Linked DNA regions of Saccharomyces cerevisiae S288C. The protein of the gene in region 2 interacts with the protein of the main gene of each other region in a biochemical or structural test. Each region holds a gene or a part of one and is shown on either strand. Other genes may lie near its edges.

Region 1 (4,282 bases), on a different chromosome or scaffold from region 2:
GGAAACGGTTCACTTTTGCGCTGCAGGCTGTCGGCTGGGCCTTACTATTTATGGAAATCATTTATCGTTCTGTTTACACCCTTTAAGAAGATGGAGTAAAGTGTTGAGCGTGTTAGCTGATAATGACCGTTTCATAGCATTCAAAAACCGTTGCTGTGTAAAAAAAGTCTATTTCCATTGTGGATTGATAATTTTAAGAGACAAGCAGTTCCCATTTTTGTTCTTGCAGCAGATATTTTTAGTCTTCTCTCGAATAACAATAGAGAAAAGGCGGGTATGCTCAGATAGCACATAAATTATAAACAATGCAAGGCCATAAACTTGTAGATTGTCTTTTGTATCTTTTGACGTGATCAAAAGTAATAATAGCAGTGCTTATTTGAATTAAGAGTAAAACATAGTAATACTGGAAATAAGCCGGGATATTTGTAGATATGTATATGCGCAAGAAGGTGCCTATAGAACTGGCAAATGTAGGGAATGAGAAAATCTCTTGACACTTTTTGTACGCAATTTACTTGGCACATGAAGGCACAATTAAAAGCTACTCGCCCTTGTAAATTTGACTAAAAGATTTTCGTAGTCTATGTCTCCAGTTTGAATTGAACAACACCACGCAGTCTAGTAATGTTGAAGGCACCCTTTATGTGCAAATAAAGAAAACTTAGCCGCATAAGGTATCATTGCTGTAACTCCATGACTGTTATCCCCCGAAGAACTTTGTAATAACAATTGTAAGTTTTTAGGAAAGGTTCACTGTCGAGAATGACACTTTGGGTTAAGCATTTTAACAAATATTTTCGCTAGACACTGTGTGATGAAGCTATTTCTGAATAATTTTATATTTTGCCTTGAAATTTAATCATGAAATTATATCTGTAAAGGAAAATTAGGGAATGAAATACAAACAATACGAACATAATCCGTAAAAGTATAAATAATCCAAATACAAACTATACATGTGTATACAAGCTCATTTATAGAAATAAAAAGCAGTCGATAAGGAGCAGATAATCTGAGATCTTGCCCACCGCGTTTGGAGAATACCATCAGCTTACCCAAATAATCAGGAAAACTGCAAGCCCAGCTATTTTGCCAATAATAATTTCCGCCACTTAGGTCTGTATGTGAGTCAAACGTTGCTCATTCATTAATCTCTATGATGTATTACAGCTGGAAGTGATAAGAACGATAAAAAAAAGTGATCACCTTACTTAGCGCGAAAAAACTTGAACTGTATGGCTTTCCATAAACTAAACCAACTTTTAAAAAAATTAACAGTATAAGTAGAAACCGCCGTCCGCAATGTCAGATCTTCAAAAGTTACAGAGGTTCTCAACCTGTGATATTTCGGACGGATTGTTGAATGTTTATAACATTCCAACGGGTGGTTATTTCCCTAATCTAACAGCAATTTCTCCACCGCAAAATAGCTCCATAGTAGGCACTGCATACACAGTACTGTTTGCACCCATTGATGATCCAAGACCTGCCGTGAACTATATAGACTCTGTCCCTCCCAACTCAATACTCGTCCTCGCACTGGAGCCCCATTTGCAAAGTCAGTTCCACCCATTTATTAAAATTACGCAAGCGATGTACGGGGGGCTGATGAGTACCAGAGCACAATATTTGAAATCGAATGGGACAGTAGTCTTTGGACGCATAAGAGATGTGGATGAACACCGGACTTTAAACCATCCCGTTTTTGCTTACGGTGTTGGATCTTGCGCTCCAAAGGCTGTCGTTAAAGCCGTAGGCACTAACGTACAGTTGAAAATCTTAACGAGTGATGGCGTAACCCAAACAATATGTCCTGGTGATTATATTGCAGGTGACAATAATGGAATAGTACGCATTCCTGTTCAAGAGACTGACATTTCAAAATTAGTTACCTATATCGAAAAGTCAATTGAAGTGGATTTACTTGTCTCTGAAGATATTAAGAATGGTATTCCCGCCAAACAAGCTCAAAATGATCGAAGATCAGTATTAAAGAAATACATTTAAAAACGCTATCTTCATACATATATATATATATATATCTTCTTTATCGCTATCGCCTTATACATCGTTAGCTAAGCATCTTCAATTATGCTAAACAATATTCGAAAATGAAAATACATGTTTCTGTGGTGACTTAAAAAATCCTTAAGCAGAGTAATTCAAACGGAAGATATCGTTAAACACGTAGTAAGAGTTTCCATCAGGAATCAAATGGAACACTTGAGAGAAACGCTGTGGATTTTGTTCTTCGTCAATCAACAGATCACCAGTGATCATGACTAAGACATCGCCATTTGGGGAAGCAGGTTGCGCATCCAAAGTAGTGATACGATGTTGGACCTTTTGAAATGGCAAAGATACTAATTTCTCAACAATGTCCTTTGCACCTTGCAATTGACTAGTCTCGAATGTTAGCATAGATTCATTTCTGTACAAGTTACCCAATTGGCTTCTATCGGTATCAAATTGATTATAGTAAAACTGGGTGAAGTTTTGGGCCAAAGTGTTAAAGTCGAGAGACATTATAAAGATAATAGTATTAAAACCTGGGTTCCTTAGGGGGTATTGTACACTAAAAACTAAAAAGTACTTACTTATCAGCCTAAGTCTCACCTTGCCAAGTCAGAAAATTTTTCGTTGCTTTTTGAGAACCACGCTTGTGGGACTATGTCACCCGGTATTAATGGGCAAATACTAACTTGGTGAACACTTATAGCAATAACAGTATCATAGCTTATGAAGAAAAAGCGGTCATAAAGACTGAGTCGGTGCCAGATATCTCCAGCTAGGTAACAAGGCTACGCAATTTATTCTATATTATGAGGTCCTCGAAGTCTCCTTTTAAAAGGAAGTCTCACAGTCGTGAGACATCACACGATGAAAACACATCGTTTTTCCACAAGAGAACAATATCCGGTAGCAGTGCTCACCATTCTAGAAACGTCAGTCAAGGTGCAGTACCCTCTTCCGCACCACCTGTTTCTGGTGGAAATTATTCGCATAAGAGAAACGTGTCGAGAGCTTCAAATTCCTCTCAAACTTCGAATTTTTTAGCCGAACAATATGAAAGGGATAGGAAAGCCATAATTAATTGCTGCTTTTCCAGACCCGACCATAAGACAGGTGAACCGCCGAATAATTATATTACACATGTCCGGATTATAGAAGATTCAAAATTCCCTAGTTCAAGACCTCCTCCAGATTCAAAATTGGAGAACAAAAAGAAAAGACTCCTTATTTTGAGTGCCAAGCCCAACAATGCCAAGCTAATACAAATTCATAAAGCAAGAGAAAACTCAGACGGCTCTTTTCAAATTGGTAGAACTTGGCAGTTGACCGAACTAGTAAGAGTAGAGAAGGACCTGGAGATATCTGAAGGCTTCATTCTTACCATGAGTAAAAAATACTACTGGGAAACGAATTCTGCGAAGGAAAGAACTGTTTTCATTAAATCTCTAATTACTCTATACATTCAAACATTCGAAGGTCATGTCCCTGAATTGGTCAATTGGGATTTATCCCTTTTTTATCTTGACGAGAGGAGTTATCAAAGAGCAGTCATCACAAATCGCCCCGGTTCCGTATCTCCAATAAAGTCACCTACAAGTAATTTCACGACAAACACTACCCAATCGGTGGGCTCTGTCCCCTTTTCAGCACCTACTGAGAGGACAAGAAGGTCTGAAACAGAAAGCGTTAATCCAGTGTCAACGCCTGCAAGCGTGGAATATCATGCAGGAATGAAATCTCTAAATAAGGCCCCCTATTCTTCCAATTCGACATTGAATGAAGTGAATAAAAGATACGAGTTAGAGCAACAACAGCAACAAGAAGAGGCTGAACTGAGACGATTAGAAGAGCAAAAAAGACTTCAGTTACAAAAGGAAAATGAGATGAAAAGATTAGAAGAGGAAAGAAGAATAAAGCAGGAGGAGAGGAAAAGGCAAATGGAATTGGAACACCAACGACAACTCGAAGAAGAGGAACGAAAACGTCAAATGGAACTGGAGGCTAAAAAGCAAATGGAGTTGAAACGTCAACGGCAATTCGAAGAAGAGCAACGCCTAAAAAAAGAGAGAGAACTATTGGAAATACAGAGAAAACAAAGAGAACAAGAAACAGCTGAGAGATTAAAAAAAGAAGAGCAAGAAGCGCTTGCTAAAAAGGAGGAGGAAGAAAAAAGTAAAAGAAACAAAGTAGACAATGAAAGTTATACTCAAGAAATAAATGGTAAGGTTGATAACCTTTTGGAGGACTTAAACGCAGTTTTGGCGGA
Region 2 (8,385 bases):
CGATTCCGTAGATGAATCAGCCAGAATAAAGGATGCATTTATTACACAATTGGAAAGCTCAATAACCGACGCTGGTGTCCTTGCTTTGAAGTTAGAACTATTAGATTTCTTAACATCAAATCTTTCTAATTATAGTCGAACGATGACTATTTCTCATCTGTTATTAGGTTTCCAGGTCTCAAACGTTATATCCCTGGGACCTAACCTAGCAACATTTATATCTTCCGGAACCTCATTACTTGATTCCCTCATAAGCGTGTTGGAAGCTTCATTGAACAGCATTACTAAGGACAATATCGATTATGCACCTATGAGATTGGCTACAGCAGCACTGGAAATTATTCTCAAACTATGTCGTAATCCGTTAACATCTGGTCTACTATATTCATACCTAATCAAAGAAAACTTTTTTGAGAGAATAATGATCCTCGATCCACAAGTGACAAGGTTCACGACATGGAACGGCTCTCCTTTTGACAATTCTACAGAGGAAAAATGTAAGAACTTCATCGAGAGCGAATCCGTTGGTGCATTTCTGTCATTCTTAGCCTACAGGAATTATTGGACACAATATTTGGGTCTGTTCATTCATAAAATTTCATTTTCGGGCACGAAATCAGAGGTTTTAACATATGTGAATTACTTGATATCAAATACAATGTATTCGGTAAGGTTGTTTTCTTTCTTGGATCCATTAAACTATGGCAATATCTGCGAACCAAAAGAGACGTTATCAATTTTCACCAATGTTCCTTTAAATTTGGAACAAGTCACTCTTAACAAGTATTGCTCCGGCAATATCTATGACTTTCACAAAATGGAAAACCTTATGCGCCTGATTAAAAGAGTCCGTGCTGAAAGCTTACATTCTAATTCCTTCAGTCTCACTGTGTCAAAAGAACAATTTTTGAAGGATGCAGATGTCGAGTGTATAAAAGCAAAAAGCCATTTCACGAATATTATATCAAGAAACAAAGCATTGGAGTTGAACCTATCTGTGCTGCACTCTTGGGTACAGTTGGTGCAAATCATTGTTACTGATGGAAAATTGGAACCATCAACAAGATCAAACTTTATTCTGGAGGTTTTTGGTACAATTATTCCGAAGATTAGTGATTATATTGAGTTTAATATAACTTTTTCAGAAGAATTGGTTTCTCTCGCCGTTTTCCTATTTGATATATATAACCGCGATCGTAAGTTGATTACCGACAAAGGCACGGTAGACGGCAGGCTATATCAGTTGTTCAAGACATGTATTCAGGGTATAAACTCCCCACTCTCCTCTGTGGCATTAAGGTCCGATTTCTATATATTAGCAAACCATTATTTGAGTAGAGTTCTAAGCGACCAAGTAGGGTCCGAAAAGGTTCTGCAGGATTTGAGACTAGGAAGTAAAAAATTGGTAGAGATCATATGGAACGATGTTGTTTATGGCGAGGGAACTAGTAGGGTTACAGGTATATTACTATTGGATTCACTTATTCAACTGGCTAATAGAAGTAAAGAGAATTTTATATTGGATTCACTGATGAAAACTACAAGACTGCTCTTAATAATACGTTCGCTGAAAAATACAGATGCTTTGTTAAATTCTACTACAGAGCACATAAACATTGATGATTTGTTATATGAATTGACAGCTTTTAAAGCCACTGTATTCTTTTTAATACGTGTTGCCGAAACTAGAGGTGGAGCTAGCGCTTTAATTGAAAATAATCTATTCCGAATAATCGCGGAATTGTCATTTTTAAAAGTTGATCCTGATTTGGGTCTAGACCTTATGTTTGACGAAGTCTACGTTCAGAATTCCAAATTCTTAAAGGTTAACGTCACCTTGGATAATCCGCTACTAGTTGACAAAGATGCTAATGGTGTTTCCTTGTTTGAGTTAATCGTTCCTATATTCCAATTGATATCAGCTGTTTTAGTGAGCATGGGGAGCTCAAACAAAGCTGTTGTTCAAACGGTAAAGGGTTTACTGAATACGTATAAGAGGCTAGTGATCGGAATATTCAAAAGAGATCTTTTGAGGGAAAAAGAAGATAAGAAAAATTCGTCGGATCCTAATAACCAAAGTTTAAACGAAATGGTGAAGCTAATTGTGATGTTATGCACATTAACAGGATATCAAAATAACGATTAAGTCATTCATTATCACTTTTAAGAATTACTTTTAGGAATCGATTTCATTTTGCAAAATATTTGGTTGTGTACTAAGTACTAAGAAGAAACTATCACAAAAAGTGGCTTTTAGTTTCATACACTACAGAAGCCTTTCTTTGGTTCTGATTTGGTGCGTATTTACTGTCTAATGAAATAAAAATCCAGGTCGTTTACAGATCGGCACGACACATTACAAAAACTTCTTGAAAAAGGAAAAAAACAAGTATGATTGAGGTGTTAAATTAATTGCAGGTTCTGAACCATCGCGTACATTTTGATACCTATATATAATTATTTAATATAGCACATCCTATGTCAAATAAGTGTAGAATAGAGGGAATTTTTTCTTTTAGATCATTTCTTTATCGAGTTGATTTGTTTTTCCAGAGAGGTGGAGTTATCGTCTAGTGACCTTAAAGCGTCGAAATGTGAATTCAAGATTTTGATTAGTTGAATATTTTCGTCTTCATTGTTTATATCGATGTTAGTGGTTTTGTTGAATGTATTACTAACATTGTTGATTTCTACTATTAGAGAAGAAAGATTGGATGACAACGAGTTTAAATTTTCGTCCAAAGTCTGGGCTGTCTTATAGGCCTGTTGTCTTTTTTGGTCATTATTGTTGGCCGCAGCACCTGAACTTGTAGACACAACATCGGACAGAAGTGCCTCTGTCTTGGTTTCAAAATTGTCTAAGAAGTTTTCTAATTCATCCTGTTGCCTCTCGATATATTGTAGAGATTGATCTATTTTGTTTTGACTATGTTCCGCCATCACAGCATCTGAGTATAACTGACTAATTTGTTCACCTCCTTTCACTAGTACCTGATCCCAACTATTAATTTTTTTGGTATACTGTTCAAAATGAGAGGCCGATTCTGTTAGTTGGTTAGTCCATTTCGTTACTAAATCGTCCAGTGTTTTATTGTCGAGAGAAACTGGCTTCAATTCTACTGGTTTAGAATTTAATTTCAAGCTATCACTTGATTTGACATCTGCGGTTGACTTCCCCGTAGAAGATTCCTCTGTTTTCTTCTCATTATCTTTTTGAGCACCAAAAGTAAACGCTGGCTTGCTCGTATCACTGGATTTCTGTTCTTCGGGTTTAGCACCAAAGGAAATGGCAGCCTTCGCCCCATCGCCTTCCTCCTTTCCTGTAGGCTTAGAACCAAATGAAAAGGCTGATTTTGATTCATCACTTTCTTTCTTTTCGTTAGCCTTTGCTCCGAATGAGAAGGCAGGCTTGGAGACTTCATCATTCTTCTTTTCATCGGGTTTAGCACCGAATGAGAAGGCAGGCTTCGAAGAACCACTGTCCTTTTTTTCATTCGATTTAGTACCAAATGAGAAGGCAGGCTTCGAAGAATCACTGTCCTTTTTTTCATCCGATTTAGCACCAAATGAGAAGGCAGGTTTAGAGGCATCGCCATCCTTTTTCTCATCGGACTTTGCTCCAAAAGAGAATGCCGGCTTGGAAGTTTCATTGTTATTCTTTTCCGCGGGCTTGGCACCAAAGGAAAATGCTGGCTTAGCCGTTCCATCTTGCTTGTCTTCATTTGATTTGGCACCAAATGAGAAAGCTGGTTTTGAGGAATTATCATCCTTCTTTTCTTCTGGCTTAGCGCCGAATGAGAAGGCAGGCTTAGAAGTAGCACTAGCTTTATTTTCATCCGGTTTAGCGCCAAAAGAGAAGGCAGGTTTAGAGGCATCACCATCCTTTTTCTCATCAGACTTTGCTCCAAAAGAGAATGCCGGCTTGGAGGTTTCATTGTTATTCTTCTCCGCGGGCTTGGCACCAAAGGAAAATGCTGGCTTAGCCGTTCCATCTTGCTTGTCTTCATTTGATTTGGCACCAAATGAGAAAGCTGGTTTTGAGGAATTATCATCCTTCTTTTCTTCTGGCTTAGCACCGAATGAGAAGGCAGGCTTAGAAGTAGCACCAGCTTTATTTTCATCCGATTTAGCACCAAACGAAAAACTTGGGGTTGTGTTAGTTGTCTTATTGTCGGATGTTGCAGTACCAAAAGAGAGGGCTGGTTTTGCTGGTTCATTAGTTGTAGGTTCGGGTTGCGAAGCTCCAGCTGGGTTAGCACCAGCTGATCCTGAACCAAATGAAAGGGAAGGCTTTGCAGCCTCGTTAACCGTTTTGTTTCCACCTAGTTGTGAACCAAAGGAAAATCCTGTAGTGGGAGCTTGAGCGTCTGTCTTATTACCGACACTTGAATTAAAGGAGAAAGCAGGCTTGTCTGGTTCTGTTTTTTTATCGTCGTTAGTGGTTGCACCAAAGGAAAAGGCTGGCTTATTCGCATTTGCGGTAGCGCCAAATAAGTTATTACTTGTGTTAGCATTACCGGTCGAGCTAGGAGTTGTGTTATTGCCGCCGCCAAAATTCAAACCGCCGAACGCAGGTTTTGTCGTATTGCTATTAGTACTGTTATTGAATAAGGATGAAGAACCAAATGTATTTCCTCCAGCAGTTCCATTGCTCTTCGTTTGTTGAGCACTGGAAGATCCAAAAAGGGATGTCCCTGCACTATTACTACCAAATGTATTAGTCGTAGAATTGTTGCTGCCAAAAACGTTACTTGTGGGGTTACTGTTACCGAATGCAGTATTACCAGTGTTATTGCTACCAAATGCAGGTGTGATTGAAGAGTTTGCATTGTTCGTGTTATTTGGCGCAGAATTGTTGAAACCAAATGTTGATTGACCTGTTCCGAAGGCGCCCGCACCAGTAGAGGAATTCTGATTGGTGGTGTTAGAGTTATTGTTGGCAGTCCCGAACGAAAAGGGCGTTTTGTTTTGTTGAGGTGTATTGAAGTTCACTAATATTAAAAATCATGTAGTTTACAGGTTCGCAGGTTTTCGTTAGTAAATAGGAAGAAATTGTATAGGAGATAAAATTTTGATCGGAAGACAACCGTCCAATGGAAAGAAACATACTTTTTCAAAACGATCAGAGCTTATTACTGTTGGACTGTGCGTTGCAATGGCTCTCCAATAGCGTCTTCAGGTATCACAATCGACACGTCAAATATCACATCTGAGTGGTGCTAACACCATTTATTATTTTCTATAAAAGTTTGAAGAAAAAAACTCATCGGACCCGTCCGGGTTGTCTCAAGTTCTACAAAAGCATTATGCTTACATTAATAATAATAAAAAATACAAAATACTTAAAATAATCATACATGAAAGGATACGTAAATGTCTGAGGGCTCCTTATTATATTTTCGAAACCCAATACAAAAAAGAGATTAAAAAATTAAGAGAAATCCCTTATTATTTAGTACTACTGTTCCGCGCATCCTGGATTTTGTCTAGCACATCATCATAAGCAGCGTCAATGGCATTTTCCTCTGCATTGTTCATAAATTTATCAAATCCAGGCGCATCGGTCGGAGGAATATGAGCATTATCGTTCGTTCTAGAAGTATTGGAGCCTGTGGATATCGGATCAGTGGTAGGGGACGCATTAGCACTTGAATCATTGGATTGGGAGGACTGTTGTTCATCCTTTGTTCTGAACGCGGTCTCTTCTTGGTTTCCCTGTTTTTTGAAAATATGATGCAAGTGGTACCCTTGGCTATGCAGTTCATCAATGACGCCAAGGATAGTAGAGACGTCATTCTTCAACAGAAATTCCTTTATCTGGTCACTATCTAAGGATTGTGCGGCACGATTTAAGATTTCTTTGTCCACTGGCAAATCGCCACCACCGACAAGCTTTTCGTGTTCTAGTTCTCTTTTAATGATAGAGTATTTGTTTTTGATATCAACTTCATCTCGAAATTGTTGATCATTTGCTGGTACGTCTTCGTGATTTACGTTGGAGTCGTCACCTTCTCTGAATTCGACGGCATCTTCTGCATCTGGGCTTGACTTTTCGACTATTGCACTACCGAATGGCATAAGCGCAATATGATCTGAATTTTGTAATATAGATGAGCTTAGTAACATTCTTTGACAGCTTTCGGAATTGGGTTGTGCTTGATTTCCCCCTTTCCGACTTTTTGAGACGGCCTCTGGTGATTTCAAAGTGTTGTTATGTCTTTGTTTCAGCAGGTCACAGCCTCTTTCCAAACTTGCCTCTATGAAGCATAATCTAATCAAAGCTTCCTTACCTTCCAAATTTAATTGTCCATTCAGTTTTAAATCAAAAAGATCATGAACCACTTTACTAATCTTGATACGTGCCAACGCGATTTTGGCCATGAAATTCTCAACCATTTTGTTGTAATGTTCGGAATTATCCGCTTTTTCAGTTAATAAAAGTGATAGTTGGTCCTGTAGGCTTGAAAATTGGCTATCTTTGATATCTTTATCGTCACTATTAACCCTTTTCAACTCCCCTTGAATATTTCTTAAAGCATATAATGAAATTTTTTCCTTAATGTTCTCTGGCATATACACATAGTCCACGTCCAAAGTCATCAAAGATGAACTTTTCCTCACCGCCTCTGCTAGAGCTTTAGACGATGCCAAATCCAATTCCGTTCCTAACATGGAAAAATAATTCAATCTTGAACACATGGGTAATATTTCGGCCAGCATCACTACACTCGTGGAACTTAAATTATTGTAGTCGATATGCAGACGGACAAGATTAACAAAAACAGGTAAAAAATCAATCAGCGTCGGAACACAGTGGGGGAAGATGGCAGGATTGTTCGATATATCCAAGAATTTTAAATTTTCCAAATAACATAAAACGCTTATCAGTTTTAAGACCTCGTTATTCTCAAAAGTGTCGTGTTCGTTCACTCTCAAATTTGTCCCATTTAGAGATAAAAATTTGAAGACGTTTTTCTCGTTAGCTTTTTGTATTTTGCCTAAAACAGCATCGGTGAAAGAGGAAAGTTTGCCATTCAAATCGTTAAAACCAACGTCTAGACCTGTCACTTTTGATTGAACCATCCACTTGGCCAAATCATCACATTGGCTCTTAGATAATCCATTATACGCGAGGCCCAATCTCTCGGTTGCTATACAAGCAACGAGGATGAAGTTTTTGAATTGTGCAGAATTCATCTTGGCCCCGGAAATGACAATTTCCTCCAAACCGCCCATGAGGGCAATAGAAGCTGTCAAAAGGTCCCAGTTCATGTCGGATCTATTTTCCAAGTTGCATTGCATTCTCAGAATTTTTGACTTCAAAGAAGATTTAGAAGGCTTTTGTACATTTGTCTTGATGGAAGGGACCATTGTCAAATCAATAGAGTGCAGAGACTTGGCCTTGGAGACAAAATAACACAGAACTTTCCATCCTTCTTCATCCAAGGGGGTGTTTCTTAGAGAAAGTTTTTGGAAATGCTGTTTGTAAACCAGCGAACTCAAAATTATTCTAAGCATTTGCACGGTTAATTGTACACCGTCCAACGAAAGACATAAAACGGGAGCAATGCTCAAGAAATCGCTGAACGACCAAATTTCCACCATAGAAGGTCTTGGGTTACGTAACTGTAAGATGGGGATAGGGTCCGTCGAGCCCTTTTTCAATTGCTTCAATGTGGCTGGTATGGGCAGAATTTCTCGCAAGTGACAACAACGGGTATACACAATGTCGTGAGGTATCTTCAAAGAAGGTGGGGGAAGAATTTCTCCTTCATCATCTGCGTTCGTACCGTTGGTATCACTGGACACCATGGAGGCCAAAGAGGATGTGGAAGCACCCCTTCTTGAAATCATTGGCTTATCGATGGTCAAATGGCTGGCGGTCTTACTGACAGTGACTTCTTCTTCATTGTTGGTCACGATACGTTTCAATTCGTTAGGTGCCTCTTTGGCTCTGGCCTCTGCAGCAGCTTCTGCAGCGGCCATAACGATGTTTCTCCTTTGAGAATTGTTATCCTCCTCGTCGTGTGCCTCCACTTCGTTCTGCTTTTGAGGGGCCATCTCCTCTTTACTCTTGGCATTTGCGTCGTCTTCCTCGGGATTTAATAGTTTTAATTGCCCGGTCCCCCCAACGACAACACCCAAACTAGTCGATTCCATGATTTTTTTGCGTTCTTGCGGAGTCAACCTATGAATGACAACAGATCCATTAGGCTTCACTTCCACTTCACCTTTACGAGGGTTTTTACTGCATATTTGTTGTGGAGGATCGTTGAAATAGGTGTTCGTAGCAAAGGAGACGTGTTTCAAGGGCCGTATATTCTCGAGGCCGGGGACGGTGGTTATCTTTGAAGGGTCGAACTCCATTGAACTAGAAGACCATAG

Evidence for each region.
Region 1: the proteins of NSP1 (region 2) and NTF2 form a complex in vitro, tested with the Saccharomyces cerevisiae proteins (2 studies listed by BioGRID).

The regions. Positions count from the first base shown.
Region 1 is NC_001137.3:170,362-174,643, reverse strand, and holds NTF2 (Ran GTPase-binding protein NTF2), read right to left. Parts: upstream 2,530-4,282; coding exon 2,152-2,529; downstream 1-2,151. Other genes in the region: YER010C (bifunctional 4-hydroxy-4-methyl-2-oxoglutarate aldolase/oxaloacetate decarboxylase), read left to right, coding at 1,306-2,010; GTP-Rho binding exocyst subunit SEC3, read left to right, coding at 2,826-4,282. UniProt on the Saccharomyces cerevisiae protein: Facilitates protein transport into the nucleus. Interacts with various nucleoporins and with Ran-GDP. Could be part of a multicomponent system of cytosolic factors that assemble at the pore complex during nuclear import.
Region 2 is NC_001142.9:362,509-370,893, reverse strand, and holds NSP1 (FG-nucleoporin NSP1), read right to left. Parts: upstream 5,111-8,385; coding exon 5,110-5,110; intron 4,992-5,109; coding exon 2,521-4,991; downstream 1-2,520. Other genes in the region: NUP192 (Nup192p), read left to right, coding at 1-2,146; MHP1 (Mhp1p), read right to left, coding at 5,449-8,385.